4 linked regions of the Tribolium castaneum genome follow. The protein of the gene in region 4 purifies or fractionates together with the protein of the main gene of each other region. This does not show direct contact. Links are inferred from orthologs where the notes say so. Each region holds a gene or a part of one and is shown on either strand. Other genes may lie near its edges.

Region 1 (5,462 bases), on a different chromosome or scaffold from region 4:
TTCGGGAGTTTTTTGGTGAATAGCGCTTTAAAATTTATTGAAGTAGGCGATAATAGGACATTTTTCGCCAAATTTTTCAAACGTTTCGAAATTTTTTAGTGGGTTTTTCGAAATCGAACGAAATGTGCAAAAAATAATTCATTTTAGTTCACATTTTATTAATTGAGTATTCTGTTCATCCCAAATTTTTCGAATAAAATGAAATAAAAAAAAACAATCAAAGTGGAATTTCGTTTGTTTTAGGTCGAATTTAACGTAAATCAGGTGAAGAGAAACAAAGAATTAATAGCAGTTGACATTCAAGTGGTGCAACCCGCTACACAAACCAACGGAATTAAACATAGAACTAGCAACAATTGTCAAATATACCAAGGTTTCATAGCAGCGTTGAAAGACGGTTTTGGATTCATCGAAACTACTCAACATGATAAAGAAGTCTTTTTCCATTTTAGGTGAGCTTTTAGATTCCCATTGTAGCTTTTGATAATAATTGTATGTATTTTTTCGTAGTAATTTCGAAGGCGAGCCCAACAGTCTTGAACTGGGCCAAGAAGTTGAATACAATTTGGGTAGTCGCGGCAATTCGGGCACGTGTTCTTCAGCCGAAAACGTTAAAATTATTCCGAAAGGTACGATAAATCTACCGCCTGTCATTGGCGATGTTTTGGACGGAACAGTAGTCCGTCCTTTACGTTCGGTAAATCCCGATCAAACGGAATACTCCGGACTTATTCGAATAAAAACGGAAGATCCCGAAGAGAAAGCACTGGAATATGAGTTTGGAATAATGGGACTTGTCAATAAACGCGAATTGTTACAAGTGGGTGACCATGTACAATTACAAGTGGATTCAACAGGCAGGGCTGCCAACATTGTTGCTGTACGAAAGAAACTACGAGCAACGGTAGATGCAATCAAAGGTCATTTCGGTTTTTTGGCTTATGAAGTGGAAGAGGGCAAAAAGTTGTTCTTCCACATGACGGAAGTTAAGGATAATGTTAATTTACAAGTTGGCGATACTGTCGAGTTTGTGCTTGTGACCAATCATAGGAGTGGAAAGTCGTCGGCTTGTAGTGTGGTGAAAGTCAGGTGAGTTTTAATTTTTTGGGTAATTATTAATTAAATTGTAATACGTACGTTGGAGAGCAAAATATCGTTATTTATTTTTTTATTTGGAATTATACAAAAAACAGTGAAATTGAACTTAATTTGGTAAATTCTTGGTTCACTTGTAACCAAATTTTGTTTTTGTGTTAATTTTTGATGGAGTTGAGTGTGACTGAAAACGATAGCATTATTTTTGATGTATTCTGTAATTTTTTGATTTAATTTTGACAAAATTATGCGAAAAAACCCGTTTCTGCGTGAAAGGGCAAATTATTATAAAATTGTCAAAAAATGTCAAAAATTGTGCTGCTGGCCGTAAAATGTACTCGAAAAAGTAACAGTTAACAGTTTGCCAATTTCTATTCAATTTAGCATTATTTATCAAAATGCTAAAAAAATGGTGTTTTTTTTACCAAAAACAATCTTGGTACTTTTTTTCTTTCGCTTAACAATTACGTTTCTGGTTGTGAAATGTTTTTAAAATGCCTGTTCCGGCCATTTTCCGGCTTTAGTTTTCAGAAAGATTACGAAAATTTTGCTAAATTATTGAATGTGTCTTATGTGTCAGTTACAGCATCATTATTAACCACTTCTGCGATTTTTTGGTCTTGATTTTGCCAAAATTTTGGAAAATTGTTGCGTCTATGGATAAAAAAAAACCGCTTATACAACGTAAACAAATGGCAAAATTATCTTTTTTTAACTGAAAAAAATAATAAAAGTAAATTTTCCAGTTTATTTTTGACAAAATGACACTCAAAAAAGCACAAAAATGCAGCTACTTTACGACGTAATTTTGATGAGTTTTTATGAAATTTATGCGTTTCTGGGAAAAATTGGAAATAATGTCGTTTTCGAACTAAAAAACTAAAAGCAATGCGTTTTTAGTCAAAAAATGTTCTTAAAGAATTTATAATGTTCGAAGAATCTATAGTTTCATTGTGCATTTTGCACATTAATTTGCAAATTTTTGACTTAGTTTGGTGTTTTTCCTGTCCAATTTTGCAAAATTATCGACTTTCTAGAATTAATTTGTTTTGAAATGCTTAGAAAAGGCGAAAGTTACACTATTTGAGGCTTGATTTTGGTTTATTTTTGAGAAATTTCGCGTAATAACCACATTTCTGAGTGATTAGCTTTCCAATAAAACACAAAAACTACGAAATAATGCCATGTTTGAGCTCTTCTTCAGTACAATTTTGTGGAAATATTTTGTACTTAAAATTTGTTTGAATACTCAAAAACTACAAAAACAGTGTTTCATTTTTGAACTATTTTTTTTTGTGGTTTTGTTTGTAAAAAATTTCGCAATGTAATTACGTTTCTGGCACCAAACTGTAATTTTCGGCACAATTTAGTGATTTTTTCCCCAATTTTGCGAAATCCATCAAGTTTTTGTCCTAGTGCCTTAAAAATTGGAAAATTGCGAGATTATATTACTTTAAGCCTGATCTACTAATTTTCCGGTTTACTTTTGACAAAATTTTATGAAATAATTGCGTTTCTGGTTGTCATTGTTGACTACATTTTGTAATTTTTAAATTCTTATTTTGCAAAATCTTGCCTAAATGTTTTTTTTTAAGAAATTTGTGGCTGTAAAATGTGTTAAAATCGATGGAATTTTTAAAAAATCTACAATATTGTAATTTTCCACTCAATTTAGTGATTTTTTTGGTCATTTTGACGCAATATAGCGAGTTTGTTTGTAACTTAAAACTGCCTTAAAGCACTCGAAAAAGGCCTAATTAAACCATTTCTTAGTTTACGTTTGATAATTTTGAGCTTACGAGAAAATGGTTTAAAATATTTTTTTAGCCTAACATCTTTAGGCGATTGGATAAGGCATAAATAACAATTTTGGTCCAATTTAACGTTTTTTGAGTAATTTTTGACACAGATTTGCGAAATTTTTTGTGTTAGATGCTTGAAAATTTCGACCAATACGGTGGTTTTCCGATATAATTTTGACGAAACTTTCCAAAAAACGTGCTCTTTATCTCAAAAACGTACAAAATGGCTTCGTGAGTTTCTTAGCTTAATTTTTGAAAAAAATCGCCAAATAATTACGTTTCTGGCTGTAAAATTTTGTTAAATTTTTTGAAAAACACATACAAATTTGCGACTTAGATTTTTGTTCGGTTTAGCGAGTTTAGAGCTTTATTTTTAATTACAATATTTTCCGGTTTATTTTTGAGAAATTGACGAAATTGCGTTTCTAACAGAACGGGTTTAATACGCCAGTGAAGCTAAATTAATATTAGTTTTGAAATTTTTGGTTCTAGTTCTTGCTGAGAATGTCAGAAAATGCAAAAATCTGCTGTTTTCGCAAAAATATGTTTCATTTTTTTTCTGTTAATAATTTGTTATGGATTTTGACGGTAGTTTTTTGTTTTTGTTTCAGCGATGTGCAAGCGCGTCCAGAGCGGTTAATCAGCCGTCTGCGTACCGTGTCTGTGGACGATGCGGGCCCCAAATTGACGGTTTTGCGTCAACCGAAAGGCCCCGATGGCTCCAAAGGTTTCTCATCCGAGGCACGTATCGTACGTCTGCCAGGAATCGTCGTCGAATAGCAAGTGGTTAAGTCATTCTCATTCATGTCATACTACCGTAGCAACTAACTTACTCTTGTCTTAGCAGTGGAGTTGGCTAAAATGTCTATTACGTATGGTTATTAAATTATTGACAAATTGCAAAATTGTTATGGTAAACTAGGGCAAGGAAAACCTTTTCGGTTGTATTACACACCAATATTAGTCGTAGCTATGTTGAATTGAACAAAGTCGTTCGCAGTTTTACTGTGCTTAAAACACTGCTTACAAACCAAAAAAAAATTAAAAAAAAAGTTGATAATCCATTGACAAATATGAATACAATGAATTTATTATTAGGATACAGAGTTAAGGTATTAGATTATGATCTAGAGAAGACTGCATCGATAAGTAAACTCTACATTATAAGACCTTTTGTAACTTTTATTTAGACTCCATTTAGGTGTAATGTTAGTTTGCAGTCTCTGCAGTACCCGCAACATCCCGTATTTGTAATGGATCTACATAGTTGGTGTGTCTCTTCTCGCTTTTCTTCTGTGATAATCACAAGCCTCGTTATTTACTTATTTACCAAAGTAGTTTCCTCTTGATTATAGTGCCTAAATTTTGCGCAATTTTTTTCAGTTGTTTTTTTATTTTTTAAACACTTGAATGTGACTTTTTTTTTACAAATGTTGATGTGGGTACTGTGATGCAGTTTTTCAAATTAACTACAATATTAAATGTGGATTATCTTTCTATTTGTAAATTATTGTTTTAATTTCAAAGGAAATATACTAAGTAATACTATTAAGACAACGCTTTTTATTAGGCACAAATCCTTGCAATTAATTGCACCACTTGCCATTTTTGCAAAAGGCGTAAAAACCCTCTCTTCTTTCTATACGAATCAATTAGGAGATGATTTCATAAATCGTTTCGCTATTTTCCTTAAAACAAAGTTTTTACAACTTTTTCGGTGTTTTATTAGTAACCTTTTTATTTCCTTATTTGATCTACTAAAAAAACGTTAAACGCTCTTTGTAATTATTGTTATAATTTCTTCATTAAAAGGCTTTGTCCTTCGGTGCCTTCAATTTTTTAAATATTGTTCTTTAGTGTTCATACATATTTGTAAGCTTCCCTAACTTTTTCAAAGTTGTATTTTTTTCTTAAAACATCGAGAAATATGAAAATTTAACTAATTAGTATTTACACCACAGTCCATTTTTATCATTTTTTGATAATCATTGATAGTTTTAGGTTCACACTTTGAGAGGAAGAAAACAGTCCATCAAATTAAATTTCATAATTTTTTTTTAACAAAATAGTGCCTCAAAAGAACATGTAACAGACCGAATAATTACGGTCTCTCCACGTTTTTCGCTTTTCATCTTGAATGCTTTTTGTCCTTATATTGTACATTACACAATGTACGCAAGTATTGAGAGTTCTAATAATTAATTAGTAACAGATTGAGAAAACAATTTTTTTAACAAGTAAATGAAAATTATTGGTTAAATAATTAACTGACGATTGATTTATCGTTGGTGAAACCAACCCATGAACATTCTTTCATATATTTTTTTGTATTTTTGAAAAGCCTTTTAAAAAGTATGGAACGGAACCCAAATTTGAATTTTTTTTTAATCTTTCTGGAGAAAATTTTAATCGTCAGTATTTCTCAGCCTATAGATTATAAGTATAAGACTGCATTTATGAATTTTTTCCAAACAATTAGTGCACTAGTTCAAGTTAAATTTTTAATTGATGTTTCACTTGACCCAAAAATGACTTATTTAAACAATTCTTACGAACGATTTGCTT
Region 2 (4,912 bases), about 5.4 Mb from region 4:
TGATTACGATTATGTTGGCAACACTCAATAATATAGGCATATAAAATACAGTTGGTGCAACTGAATTATTCAGACGACGGTTATGCCATACAAAAAATCAAAATCCCACAACCAAATTAAAAAATTTCAACGTTGTGCCTTGCAAAATTGTCAATATTGCCAAATTGAGAAAACAAAAACGTTCAAAATAATAAAAAAATTATAACAATGCACTAACTTGTTGTTCCTTATCTTTTCCTTCAACGACACTGCTCTCGGCATCTGTCCCTTTTTCCTTTTCTTTCGACTTTTCCTTCTCCTCCGATTCATTCTTCTTCTCCTTCTTCTTGCCTTTCAGCTCTTGTTCCGAAACTGGCACTTTTCTCGCCCTGTGGTAGAACTTGTGTTCAAGCATCAAGTGAAGATAATCAACGATATCTTCGCGAGTTTTGAACAGGGGCTCGTCGCCTTGGGCCCACTTTGACTCCAAGAGCGCATCAACGGCTCTTTTAGCTATAATTTGCCCAACTTAGCTCAACTTTCCCCCCAAACAAACTATGATAAATTACCAGTGAAATACTCAACATTGTGGTTAAGAAACTTAGTTTTCTTAATTGGAACATTTTTCCGCATCCATTTGGCGATGACAAACTCCTCTTTCGCCGGTTTATCAGCAACTTCTTCGCCGGGAGCCACATACTCCTACAAAACGTCAAAATCAACTGCTGCCAACTCCAAATCGCCAAAACAAAACGTCACTCAGTTAACACGTAAAAACCTTCTTTAATTCGAAAAGAACAGGATTTTATGGGGAAAAAGCGGCGATTACCGCACGACTGACTCAGGTCTGTGAATTTCTTAAAGTTACGAACGATTCGTCGACGCGTCACTTGTGAAAACGGGTTTTTCGAATTGTGACGTCGGGGGAAATTTCCGCATTGTTCTTCACGAGATCAGGCAATAAAAACGGGAAAATAGCGCAACGTCACCTAATTGCACGGAACAACACGACCGAAAGCCCCCTTATGACAACTAACCAATAAAACACCAGCCCGGCACTTTACCAATTAACTCATCACTGGACGCGGGTTATGGGCGACAATAAGGGGGAAACAACGGAATTTGCGCGAAAACAAGTCAAATTTACCTCTTTACGTTTCTTTCCTTTCTTCTTCTCCGCCATTTTGACGATTTTGACAGGCTACGTTGTTGACGTCAGTGCTTCTAAAAATTTTACAGTTAAGCGGCTTACGTGGACTAATTATGCGATCGGGACGAACTTCTCGCTCGATTTGACGACGAAATAGCGCAATTTGCGAGATTAAACACTGATTTGTGTTTATTTCCCCCGAAATTGCACCACTAAGCACAATTAGGAATTGTGGTACCACTGGTTCCGACATACCCGGTGTTTGCGCCAATTTTCAAAAACTTTTTTTAATAAAAGGCCCTAATTATTTTCACTGGTTGGTTACATTTTAATTTTTAACCCATGTTTTTATTAAACATTCTTAACGCCGGGCTTGAAATTACAATTACATTGATCTGTTTTTTGTCATATCCAGTATTTGCATAAATTTTGGAAAATTTTACAGAATGGCCCTTCTACGAATTGAACGACCCACAATCACCGTCTTCTACACGAATTACAGCAGTTTTGCCAAATTATTAGAATACAAGGTAGAGCAATGTTTTTTTGCTACGTTTTTTGAACTTTTTTCTTCAGAAATGTTTCAAAATTTTGGGTATTTCCGAAAACAGTGAGCAGGAACAAATCCGAGCCGCTTACTTGAACCTTGTCAAGCGGTACCACCCCGATAGTGGTACCAAAGAAGCTGATGCGGAGAAATTTTCACAAGTAAAATTTTTGACCCATTTTTTTATTTTTCTGAGCCATTTTTTCAGATTGATAAGGCGTTTCGCGTCCTAACTGATAAGAAATCGCGCGAGCGGTGGCAAGTCGATGACGAAATTCAAGTGCAAGAGCAGGACATTAAAGTATGACTGATTTAAACGATTTTTTTTTTGATTGTTAGTTTTAGCACACAGCCCCCCAACACCGGCAATACTTGAGTTACGACGGTGTCGGGGTTGGAAATCCCTTTCAGAGGCAAAAACAGTACACTAGAATCCGGGCCCAACATGCAGCTGACAACGTTTTGAAGCACCGAATGTCCAAAGTTTCCGCCGAGGAAGGGGCTCTCCTGGCCAAGGCCCCCTTGAAGCACAACATTAAGACCAAATATGGACTAGAGCGTCTCGTTGAGGACTTGATTCAGGAATCGATGTCTCGGGGCGAATTTAGCAATTTATCCGGCTCTGGAAAACCTCTTCCAAGTCACCAAAACCGCAACCCTTACGTTGACTTTGTGACCCATAAACTAAACGAGGTTTTAATAGATAACGGGTTCACACCTGAATGGATTACGCTACAGAAGGAAATAAGGGAAGAAATTCAAGAATTGAGGAATTTTTTACGAGAAAAGCGCTCGTATTTGGGCCCTTGTCCCCTAAGTGGTAAAGACAGTGACGATTGGGCTAGAATTGTACAAAACCGTAGAAATACAGTCGAATTGATTAATAAAAAAATTGATAAGTTTAATTTGGTCGTCCCAATTTTGAACAAGCAGATGATTCAGATTAGTTTAGCGAAGGAAGCCGAGAGAATTCTAGCAAATGGGCAACACAGCGTCAAGCTAAAAGACTTGCCGCAGAACACGGACGAAAGTGGCCCCCCTGTGACCGAGAACATCTTCGGAATAATCGATTCTTTATTCAAAAAATAGTCTTAATAAATTTGAATTTCAAGGTCGTGTTAGTGACTTTGGTCCCAAACCCCAAATCCCCAAATCTGACAAGACCAAAAACATGGCTTCCAAGCAACAAGAAGTGGAGGTATTAGAAAGTTGGGAAGAAATCGAAGAGACTGATGTAATAACCCCCACATTTGCACCCATTTTTCCCCCAAAACCGCCCCCAGCCCCCACTAGAGCCCCTTTTGCCTTTTGCACCCCCATGCCTAATTGAGGTTATCCCCACTAACCGTGTGATTTCAGGTGTTAGACCAGAAGTTTAAGTCAATTATTCCGCCGAGCAAGTCCTTGGAGCCCAAAAGGTGACACCGCGGTCTGGGGATGCCCCGAATATATGTTTCTGTTGCAGTAACGGGCTTAGTTCGGTGCCGATTAAAATTTTACTGACGGGGGACGACGCCTTAAGGACCCAGTACGTGCCTCCGGAACCCACAGTGAAAATCCTGAAGCGGCCCTCGAAGGAGCCGCAGAACACCAACGACTCGAAAGTATTCCAGCCGAAAAAGACGCTGCAGCAGAGGAAGCAGGAGTATGCAGAGGCCAGACTTAGGATTTTAGGAGAGACTGAAAAAACTGAAGAGGAGAAGTACGGGTGGGTTGTGGCCGATTTTTGCTCATTTTGTGGTTTCAGGATTAGTATAGTGGCGTGCAAGGCGCGCTCAAGTGACTTAGATAATGTAATTCGGTTGCCAAAAGGACCAGACGGGAGCAAAGGGTTCAACATACGTAGATAGTACAGTGTGCATTTTTACGTTTATTTAAATCACATATCATCAACCAACCCAAGTGATATAACTTGATATGTGGATTTAAGCACAAAATGCCTTGCAAGTCTCAGATTTTTTTCAAACACAAACATTGCTCTATTCAGTGGTTTTGTGCTGGATGTCGTACCATGACGCAGATTTGCATCCCTTTTTTATGTGTAAATATTATTGTAAGATAATTTTATTATAATCAAACCACGTCAGAGTTGCAGTTAATTTTGCTCATGTATATTAGTAACGTTAAGTTATATTTATTGTGGTTGTGCAATTCTTAAATATATTACGTAATATTTTCAGTAACACACTGATCTACAACCCCAAATCACCAACCCTTGAACTTCTTTAAGTTTTAAACTAATAATTTTGCATGAATTTTCACACTTGAGTATTGAAAAAATACAAAAATCAGGCGAAATTAATGAACATTAAATTTTTATTTAAAATTTAATTTTTACAATAAGTATGTTGGGAGTGCTGTTCAATATGCTTTCTTTAAGTCAAAGGTTTTGTTGTAAAATAATTGAAATAAAAGAATTCTGGTAATTAATAATTAATTATGACATGGTTGAGTTCGAAAATCTCAAAGCAAAGAAGTGGCTTAAAGCATTGAATAAGGTACCTTATTTAATGCTTAAAGTTAAAAGTTTTTATTTCCAAAAAACAGTTCTAATTGAAAATCCAATACTTTTTGCAAAAAATGCAAAATATTGCGGTTTTTAAGAATATTTAAAAATTATATATTACATAAGTAGACATAAATAAAAAACCAGCTTCAAAAATTTCACGGCCGCCTACGATTTTCATTAAGAAAAATAAAAAATACAACTTAAAATTATTGCAGCTAAACAAACAGTAAAAAAATATTCATATTGTTACAATTTTTGTAAAAAAGTGTCTTGTACTGTCTTTGATTCAAACGTGTAACTTTGATAATAAGGAAGATATAATTTTTTTTAATTTCGCCAAAATGTAAACTTCTATAAGATTGGTCCAAACCAACCAATATACCAATAAAAAATTCTTAAACATTTCAAAAAACGACAACCATATGTGGAACGGGTCATTTTCTTTTTGAGTGGCTGTACCTTTGCCTCACGATTGTTCCAAGTTATTTATTTGAAATAGCCTAGTTTTGCCCAATTTTCACATTTAAATTTTAAAATAAATATCAAGATCAGGCGAAACTGTTCGAATTCAAGGCAATAGACTTGTAAAATGAGTAAAAAGTAAACACAGAAGTGGGTTGGTGCCCCTGCGCAGTGTCAAAATGGTGGGACGCGAAGTTGGATGTGTTTATGATTTCTTTTGTGATAAACAATAATTTGTATTAAATCCACGGATTAAATCGAATTA
Region 3 (5,977 bases), on a different chromosome or scaffold from region 4:
AAGTTTTACAACAGGTAATGGTGTTTAAGATAAGCAACACTCACAATCAGATATTTTGACAAGGGTGACTCAAAAATATTTACGATACCGATTGGTTCGTCTCAAAGACTATAGATTGTCTCCAATAAATCACAATAAGCGTGCCTAGTTTCGTTCCCGGTTGAACTTCATCAAGATTGCAACAGAAAATGAGGACAATTACATTATTGCAATAAAATTATGGATTGTCTTTTCTTTCTATGGCGATCCTGATAATGTTAATAGGGAACGAAACTAGTCGATTGAAACACTTTTATTTGTCCTGTGCCTTTAATTGGATTAATTTTCATTATAATTATTTCAATTTTTTAATTATGTTTTATTGATATTTTATTTTTTATACTTATGTACTTATTAAAACTTCCACGTCTGTTTCTTCAAATTATAAATATAATTACTATTGTTGTTACTTGTTTATACGTATTACATAAATAAAATTTAAAAATGCACAAAAGTTCTACATACTTCAAGTATACTCAATAATCCGATTTTTTGACAGTCCAAATCTTTACGTCTGAAACCTTGGTTTTATTGACTTTGGATAAACAAGGTATTACTATATTTTTCTAATGTTTGTTGGAACGTGTGCTATAGCGTACTGAAGACTTTACGCGCCAATTTGTACATAGCCTGTATTTTTTTATAATTTGAAAACGAATTAAACTTTAATAATTGGGAACTAAACTGATTTGAATTTATTTGTCATTATACTTTGCATGGATAATATGGTTAAATTAATTAGAACTATTTTTTTCATTTTTTATCCACTTTCAAATTCCAACAAAAAACACTTTAAACCACGCAAAACCCCACAATTAAAGTCAAAGCTAGTATTTATCACCACATACTCTCCCTAATGTAAGAAATTGACAATGTTCACTCAAAATTGCAAAAAATTCATTAAATGGGGGATTACGATAATTTCGGTACTGTTTCGAGAGAGCGTGTAGTAGTTAATTTAATTTTATTTTTTTAGTTTAAGAAAGTGTCCGATTCTACTGAACGTTCTTTTTTTCAGAATTTAGAACACAAAGACAGGACTGAAGTGTATGTCATGACAGTAACTGAAGAATTAGACGAATGGGAAGACTCAAAGACCATAGGAAGGAAGCGACAGTGGTTCACGATAGAAGAGGCTCTAGAACAGCTCGCGCTGCATAAACCGGTGCAACGCAATTACCTCCAACAGTTACGACGCTCGAAACTAACATGAGATTTGTTTTATTATTAAAAACACTGTTACTGTCAAACATGTGCTTGAGGTTTTATGGGTTTATTTATTAAAGAAAATTCGACTATATGTAAGATATTGAATTCGATTTTTTCGTAGTTTTCTGCAACAATAATGCTCTCGGTTTTAGTGAGGTATTGTTCTTTTTACGCCGTTCTGTTTACAAAATTCATTTAAATTTAAGACTATTATAGTACTTTCTTATTGTTTTGTTGCCTTTTGTTATAACCTGAATATCAGAACAATAAAATGTTACTTAATACCGACTCATTTTAGTCATTTCGAAACTGGCGCCATCATTTCGATCCCAACACCACGTCGGCATTACAGGAATCATCTTCAACAAATCAGTCTTTATCTGTTTCAGAGACGTTTTTTACCAATTTTAAATACAAAATGATGAATTCTAGCAACTAAAAGTAGCACAATTATTTACATAACAAAGCTTGATAGTTTTACTAAAAATTAAAATATTTTAGTACGTGTACGGTTACAGATTTCTGTAACACATCAAACGATCACGAAACGTCAAATTTTTGTTTTTTGAGGTTATAAAATTATGTTAGTTTTATGGTTAGACAGTTTTAATTTATTTAATAATGCAGCCAACCATTGCTCACGATTTAGATGCAAAAGAGCGCACAAAAGACGTAATTCTCGACGAAAACATCAGTTTTGCGTCATTACTACTCCCCGACGACATAAAACAGGGGCTCTCGGTTAGTGGTTTCAAAAAACCGTCTCCAATTCAGTTCAAAGCCATTCCCCTAGGACGATGCGGTTTTGGTACGTTTGTCACTTTTGTCAGGACTAGAACTAATCGAAAATTGTAGATTTAATTGTGAAGTCCAAGTCCGGGACCGGCAAAACTTTAGTGTTCTCAACAATTGCTCTTGAGACTGTTAATACGGCCAAAGACCATTTACAAGTCTTAATTTTGGTCCCGACGCGGGAAATAGCTGTGCAAATTGAAGACGTTCTGCGCAGCGTGGGCTGTCACGTAAATGGTTTTTATTTTTTTTTTTTGTAAAAGAACATACAATCAAACAAAATGAAAATGATGCGTCCATAAACGAACGTTTACGGTGCCACACCAAATTCTTGACCACAACCAACCCCTGTAATAAATCATTAGAGATCGTCAACTAGTTTTGAATGTTGTTCTACATTTTGAAATGTTGAAGAATTCCTTGTTGTAAATGGTTGGCTAGGACAAACATGAAATAATAGTTACTTCCTCAAAGTACGAAAACACATTATTTGAACACGAGTGAGGTGTAACGCTACGCTTCTCCTCCTCTTTCTGCTCCTCTTCGATCGGTAAAATCTCCTTACCGTTCTTGAAACTTAAATAACTATAATACTTATGCGACTAAAATTTGCCGAATAACAAACGTGATAAAACACGGATTCTTATTTCATTTATATTAAATTATTATCATTGCGAATTAATGAACAGAGTTGAAGGTTAATTAAATTTTTACTATATTTGGGGAGTGCTGTTTAATATGTTTTCGTAAACTAAAAGGTTTTGTTGCAAAAATAAAATTACGTGACAATTAAAAAACTGTTTTATTTCACTATCTTTTGCGGTGTAATCGGTGTAGTATTTTTCATTAAAGACTTTGACCGCGAAATGATCACTGCTCAAAAATATTTTAAATTAAAATAATAATTATTTTTAAAATTTCATTGTTACAAACTGTAACTAAAAATTTTATTGTCTTTATACATAGTTTATTTCTTAACGATATAAAACTTACTGAATCGTTGTGCATAAAACAAGATAAAACAAAAATGTAGTAATCTAATAAAATTGTATTTTAAATTTTACAGGTAAAGACGTCTGTCTATACTTTTCATCGTTTCAATTATTAATTGCACAATCGGTTTTATTAACATTTTTGTTTATTAAATGTTTCAAAAACTTGGTATGACTGGAATAAAAGTAATCAATGGACGTTAGGGTAATTCATTTATGGAAATACCCTGATTAAAATTTTGACCATTTAGGTCCAAATAAGGTTCATTAGAAAAATTTAAGAATACCTAACACCATAGGAGATAAGGTGAGACCAAAATTTTCCAATTTTTCTTAAAATCGATAAACATTAATTTATTAATTTTTTTTAAAACAAACGAAAAATAAAAAAAATCAAGTTCGTTACATCAGGTTTTAAGAGGTCAAAAAAAAATTGTATTACTTAGTTAATGCCAAATAAGTTTGTGTCGATTTAAAAAACATTTTAATTTTAATTCGAATTAACTTTACCTTTTTGTCATTGAATTTTAAATGGCAACTTGATGTCGGACTTTAAGCCACTTATTTGCTTCGAGATTTTCGAACTCAATCGTGTCTTAATTATAACTAAGTATTATTTACTACAATTTTTTTATTTCCGAAAATAATTTGTTTTTTTAAGTGAACCACAAAACATCCAACTAATTTATTTATTTTTAGTGACAAAACATGGCAACGAATCTGAAAATTTTTTTAGTTCTCATTTGTTTTTTAAGAAAATTAATAAATGTTTATCAGTTGTAAGTTCATTGAACCACTAGTTTACGATCTCTAATAATTTATGGTAGGGGTTGGTTGGTTGGTTGTGGTCAAGGGATCGGGGGTGGTTATGGACGCGTTTTATTTTTATTTTGTTCGACTATACAGGGTGCTGCATTTTGGATGTCCAAATAGGATCTTCGAAACTATAAGAGGTTTAGACTAAAACGAGTGACACATTCTCAGGTCCAATTTTTGAGAAATAATTTTGGTCAAAACCGCTTTCCGCGGTTGTTTTCGACTTATAAATAAAAGTTGCCATTTTAGCAAAATCCTAAAAACCCCATATCTTTTTTATTATAAAAGATACACATTTAAGACACACATTATGCAGAGAATATAACAATGTTATCAGCGTTTTTTTTAATTATTTGTTTAACTGTAACAACATAAAATTGAATTTTTTAAATAGGAATCATAGTTGGCTATGACATTTTCGAAAAAATTTTTTTTTCTGAACTGAAAACAATATAAATACAGTTTGATATTTCTATATACTTTTAATAAAAAACATATTGAAAGCAGTTGGCCATGGAAAAATTATTTCACATATAAGCTGTGAATAATCTAGAAATTTTGTGAACGGTTATTAAAGTAAAAAATTTGAAATTATCAAAATAAGTTATGTTAAAGTTATTTTCAATAGAACAAATATACGATCGTCGCAGATTTTAATTACATAAAAAATGTTCAGAAAACTGAAAACGATGTGTCACTACTATTTAATAACACTTTCTTATGATTTAGTGAAGTGCAATGGCGATGACGTTGATAATGTTATGTATTTTTTACTACAAAAGAGTAAAATATTTTGTAAAATAAATATTGACAGGCAATACGATTAATAAGATTTTTCTTTTTTCCACATTTCATGTTTAATTAAGAAATAGAATGACAATTTTAGCTTGCCATTTTAAATCTAAAAACAAATAATTTTTCTTAATCGCAAAAATTTGTTCTAATAATAATTTATTATGCTGTTTTTGAATTAATTAGTGTTTAAAAAATCATTAAATTATAAATACTTGTTGGGTAATATATTTTTTCATAGTTTTTATTGAAAATCGAAATTTTTTTCATGGCCTACCATAAAGAAAAAGCGAAATGTTATGTTTTCCTTAATATTTAAAAATAATGTATTACATAAATAGATATATCAAATCAGAACAAAATAAGCTTTTAAAAAATACTGCAGCCGCCTATGATTCTTATTTAAAAAAAAATAAAACTTTTTGTTATTACAGTTGAACGAAATATAAAAAAAATCGCTGACAACATTATTAAATTCTCTCTCTGTAAAACGTGACTTTGTTATAATAATATGTGAAGTCTTTGTTTTAAATAAGTATCTTTTATAATAAGGAAGATATGAATGTTTTAATATTCCACTAAAATGACAACTTTTTCGAAAGTCGAAAATAAAAGACTATAACAGGATGCGATTTTGGGTAAAATAATTCTCTCAAAAAACGGAGCCGCGAATGTGACTCGTTTTTCTTTAAATCTTTTACTTTCGGAGTTCTCCTAGTCGGACATCCAAAATGCAGCACCCTGTATATATCACGGCTGTCTTGATACACGTTATTCATTGAATAATTTGATTAATTGGCACGTTTTAGGCCTCAAAATCGAGAGTTTCATCGGTGGGAGGCCCCTCGAAGACGACTTGAAGAAATCGTCCAAGTGTCACATCGCAGTGGGGGCCCCCGGCCGAGTCAAACACTTGCTAAAAATGGGGGCCCTCACTACAAACCTCGTCAAACTATTCGTCCTCGACGAAGCCGATAAATTAATGGAGGAGAGTTTCCAGTCTGATATTAACGAAATTTACAACAGTCTGCCCCCTCGCAAACAAATGATAGTATCGAGCGCCACCTACCCACAAGAACTTGACACTTTCCTAGCCAATTACATGCAATCCCCGACTCACGTGACGTCCGAAAACGAGACCCCACTCCTACTCGGCCTTAAACAATTCGCAGCCATGCTAAGGCCCGGCCTTAACTCAGTCCAACAAATGAAAATAAAAAACGATCTTTTGATAACAATCCTAACGAAAGTTTCGTTCGTCCAATGTTTGGTTTTTACGAATTACCAATCACGGACCGAGACAGTTTCGAATTATTTGAACCAGAAGGGCTGGGATT
Region 4 (5,644 bases):
GTTGCTGTTTCTGTCTGCCTGACCTTTACATTATTGTTATGCTACGTCTGTGTCGCGGTGTGAACATTGATCAAATATACTGTAATTTTTTATCTATCAACTATGTAATAAAGAACATAAAACGAGACGGTATTTTGTTTTATTTAAGATTTCTTTTTCCCACCATAACTTATTCATACAGCGATTATTATATGAAAGGATTTTATCCTCTGAATTGTGACTCGGCTGTAAATCTTTATTTGTAGTTCCCCTATAGCGTTTCCGGTTTTATGTAATCCGTTTAGCTCCCCCATCAAGCTTTTGCTTTTGAGTATGTAATAACCGCTTCCTTTTTTTGCTCTTTCTTATTCCAGAGTCGTACACTTTCCCCCAAGGAAACTACTTGATGATTTCCTAACTACATATTTGCGATGGCGATTTTAGATTTTATGTTTTTTTTTTTTCATTTTTATGAAGGCAAAAGCCTTGAATATCAAAATTTTAAACAAAAAAAATTGAAAATTTTAAATATCGTTAAAAGTTGGTATAATACAGAAAATGAACCGCTGAATCCAATGGAACAAACCGCATTGCTCTACGACTTTTAGTTTTTGAATTATGAATTTTTTTGTTGAATAAAATTTTCCACTATAGGAAATGATTATCTTAATTTTTAGCAAAAAATTTTAAAATGTTAGATCTCGTAAAAAGTTGGTATAATACAGAAAATGAGCCGCTGAATCCAATGGAACAAACCGCATTGCTCTACGACTTTTAGTTTTTGGGTTATGAATTTTTGAAAAATAACTCGGCGCCTCCACCATTTTTCAAATTAAAAGTAAAATAAATTACGGCAATACTATTTGAAAAAGTGGAACTATTATGATCCTTACCCAGGCAAAATGATCCTGGGAATCGATTGGCATCGAGAAAATTGCCAAATTCCCAACAGTTTTTTAGTTATGAATTTTTTAAAATTTTACCAATTTTTGCATTTATCTGCAATTTTCTCGAAAACTATTAGTCGGAGAAAAATAGTCTTTTTCGAAAAAAATTGATAATTCAAAGAGCTTTCCAACGATAATACACTTCATGGCGTTATCTCTAATAGTTCTGAAGCTATTGCTCGAGAAATGTTCCGGGTACCCAAAACCGACAAAAACTGCGACGAAAATTGAAAAAATCAAACATCACAAAATTGAACATATGGACTTTTTGTAGACTTTTAACAACTTTAGTGGGTTGTTAAGACATATAGAAGTCCATAAAAATTTGCTGGAGTGAGTTTAAAAAATTTTTTTTTCATCTCTTTGAAGGTAAGTAGTGTTTTACTCAGGAAATTTGAGCAAAAAAAATGAAAATTTTAAATTGCGTGAAAAATTAGTATAATAAAGAAAAAAAGCCGCTGAATCCAATAGAACAAACCGCACTGCTCTACGACTTTTAGTTTTCGAGTTATGAATTTTTTTAATGAATAAAATTTTTCACTATGACAAATGGCTATCCTAAATTTAGGCAAAAATTTTTAAATTTTTAATTCTTGTGAAAAATCGATATAATATGTAAAATGAGCCGTAGAATTCAATCGAATAAACCGCAATGCTCTACGACTTTTAATTTTTTTTTATGAATTTTTTTAGTGAAAAACTTTGATCGCCTCTGTAGCCGGAACCGTTGCCCGGAGCGGCTCCGGGTTTGGTCGAAAAAATAGACAAAATTAAGCGCTATCAGATGGTTTTTTGTTCGTTGCTCTAAGTCTTACAGTTTCCGAGAAAAACGCAAAAAAAGGTTTCCGTTTTCACTTTTTTTCAATTTTCAATCGTCAATTACGGCGAAACTATTAAAGATATCGAGAAACGGAAAAATGGAGGATAACCGGAATAAAAAACTCTACAAAATGGCATAGGACTTAAGGCGATATCTCGCAAATAATTTTTCAATTTTCAAACGCCGATTACGGCCAAACTAAAAGAGCTAGAAGAAAACGGTTTGTTCGATCGTAAAGAGCACATCAAAATCTATAAGACAGAATGGGTTTCCTTTGATTTTGAGACACTTTAAAAATTGGCCGATTTTGGGGGGGGGTGTTAACTTTTTTTTTAATTTTTTTATTTTCTCATTTACGGCTAAACACTATTGTAAAAAGTGGAACTGTTTTGATCCACACCTATGCAAAATGATCCGGGGAATCAATTGGCATCGAGAAAATTGCCAAATTCCCAATAGTTTTTTAGTTATGAATTTTTTAAAATTTTACCAATTTTTGCATTTAACAGCAATTTTCTCGAAAACTATTAGTCGGAGAAGAATAATCTTTTTTGAAAAAAAAAGATAATTTAAAGAGCTTTCCAACGATAATACACTTCATGGGGTTATCTCTAATAGTTCCGGAGCTATTGCTCGAGAAATGTTCCGGGTACCCAAAACCGACAAAAACTGCAACGATAATTGAAAAAATCAAACATCAAAAAATTGAACATATGGACTTTTTGTGGACCTTTAACAACTTTAGTGGGTTGTTAAGACATGTAGAAGTCCATAAAAATTTGCTGAAGTCAGTTTAAAAAAATTTTTTTTTCATCTCTTTGAAGGTAAGTAGTGTATTATAATATAACTCAGGAAATTTGAGCAAAAAAATTGAAAATTTTAAATCTCATGAAAAGTTGGTATAATACAGAAAATGAACCGCTGAATTCAATGGAACAAACCGCATTGCTCTACGACTTTTAGTTTCCGAGTTATGAATTTTTTTGTGATTGGTAGGTAACCAATTATACACCCGCGCATGCGTCCCTTATTGCCACTTTCCCAGCTGTTGTTGACGCTGTCAAATTCAGTTCGCTTTCTGAACTCCTCGTGTTAGTGTGGTGTGTAGGTTTTTAGTATAATTTTTTTGTACCGTTTGACCTAATAAAATAGAAAACTATGGCAAATCTTCGTCAAACCCCCTTAACCTGTAGCGGCCACACTCGTCCCGTCGTCCATCTCGACTTCAGTTCGGTGACAAAATACGGCTATTTCCTAATTTCGGCATGCAAAGGTAAGTTAAACTTTACCTTCGGCGACATTTACCTTGGCCTGGATTCACCGTACGAGGCCGCTTTCAGACGGCAAACCCATGCTAAGGCAAGGGGACACCGGCGACTGGATCGGCACCTTCGAGGGCCACAAGGGGGCGGTTTGGGGCGTCGCGCTCAACAAGGACGCCACCAAGGCCGCCAGCGGCGCCGCCGACTTCACCGGCAAGGTCTGGGACGCCAACTCCGGCGAGGAACTGCACTCCTTCCAGCATAAACACATCGTCAAAAGCGTCAACTTTTCCAAAGACAGTGCCTTATTGGCGACGGGGAGCAACGAAAAAATTGTCCGAATTTTCGATCTGAATAAACCCGAAGCGAGTAAGGTGGCCTCGCATTCGCCTTGGCTCCTTTTCTGATCGGAACGATTTGATTTATTGTTTCAGAACCCGAGGAGTTTACGGGGCACACTTCCGGGATAAGACACGTGATCTTTTTCAGGAATGACACGCATCTTGTCTCGTGTGCGGACGATAAGACTTTGAGGGTTTGGGACCGGAGTTCCGGAAAGGTAACCAAATCTCGAACCACGTCAATTTTGTTCTAGACGGACGGTCGCTACTTTAAAAAATATTGACCAGATTCGAGTTAAATCTACTTCAAATTCAAACACTTAGAAAAAACGTTTGAAAAAAAAACAAAATTATGTAATTTCCGCTTTAATCAGACGATTTTTCATTCGAAAGGGATAAATGATACATGTTTCCAAATATTTACTAGGTTATTGCCGTTATAAAAATAAAAAAACAAATTTGCAAAATTGTCAACTTTGACAATGTAAATGTCACTTTGACAAATTAAATTCCGCAAGATGTCGCCCTACTACGACCGGCCGTCTAAAAACTTTCGCTCTTGATCATAATTATACTAGACAGTTTTTTGCAGGAAGTCCAGAAAATGGACTTCCCGTCGATTCCGAACAGCCTTGAGGTGTCCAGAGACGGCACCGTGCTCACAGTAACCCACTCAAATCACGTCACATTCCTCGACTCCGAATCTCTAAACAAAATTAGAGAATTTTCCGTTCCTACGACAGTCAATTCGGCTTCGCTACACCCCGACAAAACGATTTTCGTCGCCGGTGGCGATGATTTGAAAGTCTACAAATTCGATTACACAACTGGAAATGAAATCGAATCGTTCAAGGGCCACTTTGGCCCCGTCCATTGTGTCAAATTCTCGCCCGACGGTGAATTGTACGCTTCCGGGTCAGAAGACGGCACTTTAAGACTTTGGCAAACCACAATTGGCAAGACTTATGGACTTTGGAAATGCGTTGACGGGCCCCAAATCAACAACGACGCGATTACGTCACCCAAAGAAGTACCCGCGATTTAGCTGTTTGACGAATTTGTTTTCTCCTCCTTCCTCAAATCCAAGTAACTCGTAGTTCTTTCACGATTAGGTGAACAGAAGACGAAAAAGCGACGGAAAACTGATTTATTTATGTTACTATTTGTTTGAATATTTAATAAATAATCACGAAAATTGGCGAGTTTTTGTCCCAAATTCCTGACATTGAAAGCGGGTTATTTGTAAACAAACCGGTTGACCCAAATCAAGGAAAAAGCACCAAAGAATCGCAAAAAGCGAGGTTAGGTTCTGGCCTTAATCAGTCGATCAATGGGAAAACACTAGGTGATAAAACTGATAAGTACGAAGTGAAATGGCCCGATTGCTACATTCAGTGATCTTGGCTAATAAATAATAAAGAAATGTGAAAAAAAAATCCACAAAAAAAGTGAGGTTATACCTCTTGTTTTTCCCCCATTTTCCACATAATTAAAAACGGTAAGAGGCAAAAAAACCTTTATAAATTACAAGCTCCAATTTATTACCGCTATGGTACGATAAAAACTGCGTAATCACAATAAGATAAAAAGTGAGGTTATGTCATTCAAAAAAAAAAAAATAAGAATTGGGTTATGATGCTATTTCAGGGGCCCCGGATGCGGAAATAATTTTTCCCGCATTATCAGCTTCCGTTTCCCGCCGTCCTACAATTACCGATAATGAGTACTGGTAACAAGACTCATTTTTCGCCTCCAGTTGTCTCAAATCTCTTTGTAGAAAGTGACGGCCCCCCTGCCATGAAAAAACTCAAACTAAACCAATTCGAGTGTTTTCCAATCACATCATTGGACAACATCTCCGAAGTGATCGAAAACCCGCCCCAGTGGGTGAGCCGAGTCGCGCCCTTGACCGAGCGCAGCCCCACAGTAGTGCAAAACATAATTTCGGATTGTCATTGCGATGCGAAAAAATTCGGTCCACGAACGCGTCTCGATAAGAGATTTGTTCCCAAAACTTTAGTGTGCCATGACTACAAAGGTGGCTATTTGGAAGACAGGTTTTTGTCAAGTAGCAACATCGGGAATTTGTACTCGTTTTATAATTGGCAACACATCGATATTTTCGTTTACTTCAGTCACCACCTAATCACAATCCCACCTTTGTGTTGGATAAATGCCGCGCATCAAAACGGCGTGAAAATTCTTGGAACTTTGATAACAGAATTCGAGCCGGGGAAAAAAATTTGCGAGAAGATTTTCAAAGACGAGGACACGATGCGAATTTTCGCAACTTCT

Evidence for each region.
Region 1: the proteins of wmd (region 4) and Unr purify together in Homo sapiens (affinity purification with mass spectrometry; 3 studies listed by BioGRID and IntAct, counting the BioPlex papers as one, with this or other methods). This does not show direct contact. The link is inferred for Tribolium castaneum from reciprocal best matches to the Homo sapiens genes STRAP and CSDE1.
Region 2: the proteins of wmd (region 4) and SUZ domain-containing protein 1 purify together in Homo sapiens (co-immunoprecipitation; 3 studies listed by BioGRID and IntAct, counting the BioPlex papers as one, with this or other methods). This does not show direct contact. The link is inferred for Tribolium castaneum from reciprocal best matches to the Homo sapiens genes STRAP and SZRD1.
Region 3: the proteins of wmd (region 4) and probable ATP-dependent RNA helicase DDX20 purify together in Homo sapiens (affinity purification with mass spectrometry; 3 studies listed by BioGRID and IntAct, counting the BioPlex papers as one, with this or other methods). This does not show direct contact. The link is inferred for Tribolium castaneum from reciprocal best matches to the Homo sapiens genes STRAP and DDX20.

The regions. Positions count from the first base shown.
Region 1 is NC_087394.1:5,373,482-5,378,943, forward strand, and holds the end of Unr (cold shock domain-containing protein E1), read left to right. Parts: intron 1-243; coding exon 244-452; intron 453-510; coding exon 511-1,089; intron 1,090-3,508; coding exon 3,509-3,677; 3' UTR 3,678-4,610; downstream 4,611-5,462. UniProt on the Homo sapiens protein: RNA-binding protein involved in translationally coupled mRNA turnover.
Region 2 is NC_087399.1:6,522,682-6,527,593, forward strand, and holds SUZ domain-containing protein 1, read left to right. Parts: upstream 1-2,783; 5' UTR 2,784-2,847; coding exon 2,848-2,910; intron 2,911-3,035; coding exon 3,036-3,094; intron 3,095-3,141; coding exon 3,142-3,378; intron 3,379-3,423; coding exon 3,424-3,526; 3' UTR 3,527-3,855; downstream 3,856-4,912. Other genes in the region: Trp1 (translocation protein SEC62), read right to left, coding at 218-492, 549-681, 1,127-1,162; dnaJ homolog subfamily C member 28, read left to right, coding at 1,576-1,659, 1,706-1,837, 1,885-1,977, 2,022-2,765.
Region 3 is NC_087394.1:23,205,759-23,211,735, reverse strand, and holds the start of probable ATP-dependent RNA helicase DDX20, read left to right. Parts: upstream 1-1,776; 5' UTR 1,777-1,869; coding exon 1,870-2,056; intron 2,057-2,103; coding exon 2,104-2,277; intron 2,278-5,449; coding exon 5,450-5,977. Other genes in the region: Aps (diphosphoinositol polyphosphate phosphohydrolase 2), read left to right, coding at 1,058-1,252.
Region 4 is NC_087399.1:1,128,487-1,134,130, reverse strand, and holds wmd (serine-threonine kinase receptor-associated protein), read left to right. Parts: upstream 1-2,788; 5' UTR 2,789-2,904; coding exon 2,905-3,019; intron 3,020-3,086; coding exon 3,087-3,377; intron 3,378-3,442; coding exon 3,443-3,567; intron 3,568-3,941; coding exon 3,942-4,394; 3' UTR 4,395-4,544; downstream 4,545-5,644. Other genes in the region: ENGase (cytosolic endo-beta-N-acetylglucosaminidase), read left to right, coding at 5,069-5,078, 5,127-5,644. UniProt on the Homo sapiens protein: The SMN complex catalyzes the assembly of small nuclear ribonucleoproteins (snRNPs), the building blocks of the spliceosome, and thereby plays an important role in the splicing of cellular pre-mRNAs.